Oryctolagus cuniculus: one gene and its partner. The protein of the gene in region 1 binds, or shares a complex with, the protein of each later gene. Links are inferred from orthologs where the notes say so. Each region holds a gene or a part of one and is shown on either strand. Other genes may lie near its edges.

Evidence for each region.
Region 2: the proteins of OPRM1 (region 1) and POMC are in contact, whole or in part, in a cryo-EM structure (PDB 8F7Q), measured with the Homo sapiens proteins. The link is inferred for Oryctolagus cuniculus from reciprocal best matches to the Homo sapiens genes OPRM1 and POMC. Residues at the interface, in NP_000905.3 of Homo sapiens: Ser66, Met67, Ala70, Ile71, Met74, Gln126, Asn129, Tyr130, Leu131, Met132, Gly133, Trp135, Val145, Ile146, Asp149, Tyr150, Met153, Arg213, Ile217, Asp218, Cys219, Thr220, Glu231, Lys235, Val238, Ile298, Val302, Lys305, Trp320, Ile324; in NP_000930.1 of Homo sapiens: Tyr237, Gly238, Gly239, Phe240, Met241, Thr242, Ser243, Glu244, Lys245, Thr248, Pro249, Leu250, Val251, Leu253.

Annotation. Positions count from the first base shown.
Region 1 is NC_091436.1:13,655,830-13,660,261, reverse strand, and holds the start of OPRM1 (mu-type opioid receptor), read left to right. Parts: upstream 1-1,394; 5' UTR 1,395-1,527; coding exon 1,528-1,820; intron 1,821-4,432. UniProt on the Homo sapiens protein: Receptor for endogenous opioids such as beta-endorphin and endomorphin. Receptor for natural and synthetic opioids including morphine, heroin, DAMGO, fentanyl, etorphine, buprenorphin and methadone.
Region 2 is NC_091433.1:177,511,286-177,514,418, reverse strand, and holds the end of POMC (pro-opiomelanocortin), read right to left. Parts: intron 2,988-3,133; 5' UTR 2,938-2,987; coding exon 2,821-2,937; intron 1,191-2,820; coding exon 597-1,190; 3' UTR 542-596; downstream 1-541.

The DNA of each region.
Region 1 (4,432 bases):
GCATTTTTACTAGTCTTCATAAAAGAACTTATTGCTGAAATTACACCCTTTAATAATAAAGTATAAAAATAACACTGAACATTGGCAATATCTCCTATGATTAATACAGCTTACCTTTGAGTTATCTGTTTTCAAGACAGATGGCCTAAAAGTAATATTGGAATTAAAAGCTGATTTCAGGTTTCCCTCTTCCCTGCTCACAAAACACTGCAGTTATTCCATCAGCAATTGGGAATATTTATTTCCAGTGTTTATGGCTAAAAGATATTTTCATGCACAGAAATGAGAATTACTGCAGAATTAGTGTTGGTTTTTTACAAATAATATTCTTACTGTATTTACATTTTTTTTAATTGGAAGAGCTCACGGACTTAAAAGTGAATACAAATTTTTTTAATGTATCATTGTTCCTCGAGAACATTTTGTGGGCTACTCCAAGCGCAGAAGTTTATGTACTTCCTCCTGGAATGTCTACACTAGAAAACGGAATGAAATAAAACAAAATTTGTTGGGTTTAACAGCCTTCTTCTGAAAAGTATACGCCTATCTGGTATGTTCGCAGATGGAATGTATAATCATTCTGAAAGGGTCTTGGAGACCTCAGATGTGGATCAGTAATATCTTCAGTTGACTTTTTTGCATGTCACAATCTACCTAATTCTATGGAAGGATGCAAATGGAACATCTATTCTTAGAGAAACTGAAACAATGAAAAATAAAGGGAGCAGGTTTCTTCCACAAAGTTTATTTATTTATTTATTTATTTTCATAGAGATCCTTTCTATGAAAATAAATAAATAAATAAATAAATAAAGGATCTCTCTGGGTACAGACAGGTTTGTAGAGTTGGAAATTTCAAAGACATGATTGTCTTCTGTCAGATGAGGCGATGTAGAGGAAAGAGGATCTTGTGCCCCCTACCTCCAATAATTGTGGTGGGCCATAGAGATGGAAGGGCATTGGGGCTCAAGGGCTGTTAGAGTTATAGCGTGCCAGTGTCTTTCCTCGTAGATTAAAAAGAGAAACCGGCGCTGGAAAAATGGAGATCTATCAGCCCCCTCGTTTATGCTTCCCTGCTATCAAAAGTAGCTCTGTTCCTCTCTGGCCACCCCTCCCCTCCAGCTCCCTTCCAGCTCCGCCCGCCCTCGAGGTGTTTGCTCTCAAGAGCGCGAAGGGTGAGGACCAACTCCTCCGATTGCTTTGCGCAAAATCCACCTCCCCCCTCCTCCTCCCCTCCAGCCTGCGGAGCCCGCACCGCCTGCCTTGCCCTCCTCAGCCCTGTGGTGCCGGGTTGGGATGAGCCTCTGTGTACTACGAAGGTGGGAGGGGCCACCAGCAGAGGATAATGTCAGACGCTCCGCTGTCGCCTTTTGCCTGACGCTGCTTTTGGCTCCGCGAGGCTGGTCCCGGTAAGAAACCGCAAAGAGCTGCGGCCGCCGTGGCCAGAGCCAGTGGCTGAAGCGCCCAGAGTCCGAGTCCCAAGGCTCCCGACTAGCTGGCCTCCCGCTCCCCAGCGCCGTCAGCACCATGGACAGCAGCGCCGTCCCAGCGAGCGCAAGCAATTGCACTGATCCCTTTGCGCACTCCTCCAGTTGCTCCCCAGCACCCAGCCCCGGGTCCTGGGTCAATTTGTCCCACTTCGATAGCAACCTGTCCGACCCGTGTGGACCGAACCGCACCGAACTGGGCGGACGCGACGGCCTGTGCCCCCCGACCGGCAGTCCCTCCATGGTCACAGCCGTCACTATCATGGCCATCTACTCCATCGTGTGCGTGGTGGGTCTCTTCGGAAACTTCCTGGTCATGTACGTGATCATCAGGTAAGGAGGGCGCCAGGGCTGTGAACGGGGAGTTCAGCGGCTAAAAGGGCTCCCAAAAGGCCCTTGCATCCCAAGACTAAGCGTGTGGTTGGGGGCGACCCCAGATGGAGCGGTTGCTGTGTGTGTTTGTGGATGGGGAGCTACTTTTCTATTTTTTTTCTTCCACTGGTAAAGAAAAAATCCAAAAATTCAGGAACAGAGAAGCTGTTTTGATAAAAGGCATAAAGCTCTGGGGGTGAGAGTTGGGGGAAAATGCTTCATGTTGAAGCTCTCCCTTGTACAGAGACAAGAAAACTCTTGGCACAGAGTCCTACGGTGGCTCCCTTTGCAAGAGCTATGGCATCATAAGTTGTGAAGAATGGGGGAGGACGTTTAGGTGTGTTTTTTTCCGAATTGGGAGGCTGAGTCCACTCAGGTGGCAACTTTCCTACTTTTGCTGGTACAGGAGGACTTCTCTGTAGACAGCCCCACCCCTGATCTTCACGTGTACCTATTCCTGCTTCCACCCTAAGGCCACATGAGGCAGAGGAAGTTTTCCTGGTATCTCTCCCTGGTAATGTCACTTTGTTACCTCCACCCTTTGCAGTTGACAGCTGTGGTTCTGCTACAGCAATTGCAAGCTGCATCTTGAGTGGGTAGGGTGGTTCAGGAGAACAGAATTGTTTTTCAGTGTCTCCACACATTGGAACAGATGAAGAGTGACCCATCATAATTCTCCATTAGAAACTGTTACATAGGAAGTTGTCATAGGCACTCTGGGAAAAAGAAAATGTGTCTTTAGTAAAATTATTTCGAAAGAATTTATGGTTTACTGTCTGTTTCCCAGATGTTCCAGCTTCATTAGACAAGGGGTGAGCAAATTTTCAATATTGAATGAGATTGATGTTGTTTGTGTTGGTCTTGATATGTATACCAAACACATCATGTGAATGTGGAATACTAAATATTCACTTTTTAAGAAGTAAACAAATATTTTTAGCTGTTTAACATAGTTCCTTAGTAAGGCTTGTTTCTTCCCATTGGGGGTTGTAGGTATGCAGCCAATGTGTCATTTTCATATTTAGTTACAGTGTTTGCTTCACCTATTCAGCAAGTATTTCGCAGGTTTCAGTGGAGTACTTGAATCCTTTAACAAATAATCACTGTTCCCATTATGCTTTCCTTAGCAAAGTGCTGCAAATTGCTTGTAATTGACTTGTCCTATTTATATGCCTGATTTCTTTAATTAATGTTTGTTAAAAAGTAAAGCTAATTTCCCTGATACTTTGATAAGCAATAAAATAAGAAAGTGTCTCTGAGAAAAGAGCACCATCTATTGAGTGGACAGCTAACAACAGAAGGAAAATTTCAGGAAAAGAATCAATGAAAGAATTTATTTTAAAAAAAACTGCTTTCTGTAATTCAATAAAAAATTCATATCAGAGAAAAAACTAGTCTTATTCTGCAATTACGACAATAAAAAGTATAATTGAAGGTCTACTCTTAAAAAAGAAAATGTTTCTCATTTATCCCTTTAAAAATCACATAGACTGATAAAACTAGAATGACTACAGATTATCTTTGCTCTGTGAATAAAAGGTAAAGAAAATATAAATGATTCCTCTTAGATATCACTATGCTCATAAATGTGTATACATGAAATTTGTTCACTTTATATAAATAAAAAAGTTGAAAAAAGATACCACTGAACCAATCTTAGCTAGCATAATTTTCTGTTTGTTAAGATGACAAACCATGATTTAAATTAGCCAACTACTAGATTGACAGAGTAGATTTAGTCAGCAGTAATAATGATAGAACAATAAATTATCAAAAATGTATATCTATGGAATCCTGGAGCAAAAAACACGATATAAATTACTGAGACATCTATAAACTCCACCATCTGAATCATGATCTTTTATCCCCTTTCATTGCTTCTCCTTAGCATTTTACTCCCTCCCCCCACCCTCTAGTTTATTCTCTGCTATAAGGAGACATCCAATAGCACAGAAATAGGCTGTGAAATAAACAGATTGGCTTTATTCCAGTGTTTAAGAGGTTGTTACTTGGGTGAGTTTGTTTTAAAGGCATTACTTCTGGCTCCTTGTTGACTTGGAGAAACATGGTGACATTGCATCTTACTGAGAACGTGATATTATGCTTTCTTCTCTGTACTGAAAGTTCTGAAAAAAATGCAGTACTCTTTTAAATGTCACCCCAAACATCCACCTGTGGTAGGTTGAGTGTTTAATTCCAAGGTCAGATAACCCTCTGAGGATTTGACTGTGAAACAGAAAACTAGGCAGTTCAATGACAAATGATGTGATGGGAAGAGCATCTAAGGATGGAAGAAACTGTGTCAGTTTATCTGATATTATTTAACTGACTGCCTCCACTCCAAAGTTTTAACTATCAACTGATGAGTTCAGGGATATTACTAACTACTAACAAGATGGCTTAATGCTGCCTTTATTGAAGTACTGAAGAGAAATGCTCACTTCCTCTCACTATTTAAAATCCAGAGCACTAGTAAATGATCATCTTGTTAGTTTTGTGAACAGATTAAGATTAGAATGTCTTAGTGCATTGAGTAAATCATGAAGTTCAGATGACTATGACAACAGCAACAT
Region 2 (3,133 bases), on another chromosome or scaffold:
GGGGCAGGCGCCTTGGTAATGAGCGCGAGCAGAGTGACTGGCACCCTGGGTGCCATGCCCAGGGGTGGGGATGGATGGGAAATTGGGAAGTGGGGGTGCTCTTTGGTTCTTGAGCCAGCGGATGTGGAGAAAACCAGATTTTTGCGCACATCGCTCTGAGGAATCTGTGTAGCACGGGTGTGGCAGGAGAGCCACTAGAGGCGGGTGGGGAGTGAGGATGAGGGCTGCAGCCAGGCCCGGGGAGGGAGGGAGGGGCCCAGTCCAGCCGGGGGCGAGAGTCGGAGGGCCTGCAACAGGTGTGTGTGTGTATGTGTGTGTGTGTGTGTGTGTGTGTGTAGGGGAGACGTGAGGCCACACCCACACTCAGCTCCCCAGTGATGAAAACGGAGGCCTCAGACCCAGGGGGCGTCCACAGCTTGCGCGAACCCGGCAAGGGGGGTGGGGTGGACACGGAGCGGCTCCGGGGCCACCAGCCAGGCTCCCCGGGCGCGCTGGGCTCGGCGCCGCGGCTCGCGGTCTACACTCAGAGCCGGAGGCGGTGTGAAATGGGAAAACGGGTTTATTTCCTAAGGACAGGCGGCGCGGGGAGGCGGCGCTCACGGGCCCTTCTTGTGCGCGTTCTTGACGATGGCGTTGCGGAACAGCGTCACCAGCGGCGTCTGGCCCTTCTCCGACGACATGAAGCCGCCGTAGCGCTTGTCCTTGGGCCGGCTGCCCCAGCGGAAGTGCTCCATCCTGTAGGGGCCCTCATCCTTCTTCTCGGCCGCCGCCACCAGGCCGTACTCCGGGTCCGCGTCCTCGGCCGGGCCGTCGGCCAGCTCGCGCTTGACCTCGACGGGGAAGGCCTCGGCCGACTCGTTCTCGGCGCCGTTGGGGTACACCTTCACCGGGCGCCGCTTCTTGCCCACCGGCTTGCCCCAGCGGAAGTGCTCCATGGAGTAGGAGCGCTTGCCCTCGCGCGGGCCGGGCTCGGCGCCATCGCCGCGGTCCCCGGCCGCCGCGACCTGCTCCTGCTCGCGCTTCTGCCCCGCGCCGCCGCCGCTGCTGCCGTTCCGGCGGCCGAAGCGGTCCCAGCGGAAGTGGCCCATGACGTACCTCCGGGGGCTCTCGGTGAGCGGCTGCGCGTCGCCGTTGCCGGGGAACACGGGCGTCTCGGCCGAGCGGTCGAGCTGGCAAGCGCGGAGGCACTGCTGCGGGGAGGGCGAGGCCGTGAGCCCGGGCGCGGCGACAGCGACGCGACCAGCGCGTGGCTCGCAGGCACACACCCCTGCGACCACTGGCGGGGCTGGTCTGTGCCCCCGGGGCGCGTGGCCGCGGTGTCGCTAGCAGGCACGCACCCCGACGACCACCGGCGACGCCCAGCGCGCTCTCGGTGGGTGGCCTGTGCCCGTGGCTCTTGTGGGCAAGGCCAACGCTTTGCCTGAAAGGAACTGCCCAGAAGGGCAGGTGGAGGGTGCTGGGGGGTGGCACTTACTGCTGAACCAATGACTACGTAAATACCGGGCAATGGAGGACTGGGAGCATTGCGGGTCTGGCGGGGGAGGGTCCTGCGTGCTCAGTACCCCCCAGCCCTATCCCTGCTCCAGGCCCTTCCCCTGGCTTTCAGGGAGCTGATGGCCCCATCCCCTTGCCGACACAGAGCGGCTCACTTCCCTGTCGCCTCTCTCTGGCCCGAGGGAGAGCCGCGTGGAGCCCGGGCCTCTGCTCCCTGTCCACAGAGGGCTCGACTGTGGTCCGTTTTGCTTAGCAAGGTGACCGCATGGCTGCAGCCTGGAGATTTCTGTCACTTGAAAGCTTACAGAGGAGAAAACAAAACGTCTGGGTTCAGCGGACTTTCCCACCCCAGGGATTTACCATTCGGGATGCACAGACGGGAGCAGTAGCAAATAAAAACTGAGGCAAACGCCCTCCCTGGACCGGGCATGAAGCGGGAGGCGCAGGCCCGAGCCCCCCAGCGTGAGGCAGCACAGGTGGCCCTGAGTGCGTCCGGGGCACCTTCCCCGGGTGAGCTCTCCCGGGGCTGTCTCCTGGTCTCTCGGGACTGGAACTCACGGACCCCCGGGCGTCCTGCCCTGCTTTATGTCACACGTGCAGCCTGCCCTAACTCCACCTTCACTCGGCTTCTCCACAGACGAAACACAATGCAGCAGTGTGCATTGCACCCCCGACTGGCAGGTGCCAGCGTGTGCACGCACGCGCACACACACACACCCACACACACACACCCCTGCCAGCACATGTAACTACTGGAAAGATCAAAGAGGCGCTTAGCAGAAGGCCAGCCTTCCAGAAGCAGCGTGAGACACCGGGTACCAGTTACCCCAAAAAAAGGGTACCTTGGTTTTTCCTTCTCCCTCTAAAGACCCTTCGTAGAGCTACCGCTCTAGCTTTGTAAATGGTAGTAGATAAAAGGAGAAGAAATACAAAGGGGAAATGGCAAGGAACATGCGGTTCTTGGAGACAGAATAATGCAGAGACTGTGAGGTTAAAATACAGGACTGAGGGAGCCGCTAACATTACTAGGACACTGTCTCTAAATGAACAATCAATCAATCAATAGTGTCCAAAGAAGACAGGGCAGAGGGGAAGGATGACCAAGCAGGACCTGCGGGGCAGACCCATCTCCCTGGAGCTGCTTCCACCACGCCTCCCGCCCCCGCCCCCGCCCCAGCACAGCCCGAAGCTCGTTCTGCTCCTGCCGGGTTGGGTCAGCCCTGTCACTGGGAAGGAACTTCCCTTCCCCACGCTGCTGCTTCTGAGCTGTCGCGGCTCCAGTCCCATCTGATGCCCAAGTCAAGATGGCAGTGACGGCCCACGTACCAGCAGGTGGCTTTCCGTGGTGAGCTCCTGACACTGGCTGCTCTCCAGGCACCAGCCACGCACTTCCATGGAGGCCTGAAGCAACACGGCCAGCAGCAGAGCCCCCGACCTCAGCATCTTCCAGGCAGGCTGCGGCTCTGCAGAGGCAAACAAGATAGGCGGGACCCCTGCGAGGAGCAGAACAATGTTGGCCACTCACCAGGAAGGACCAGGAGCCAACAGCAACAACGCACTCGCTTGTGGAGTTCAAGGCTGTTTGAGGACAGGAGCAGAACTGAGGACAGGGGGAGACGGGCAGCACTAATTCCAGCAC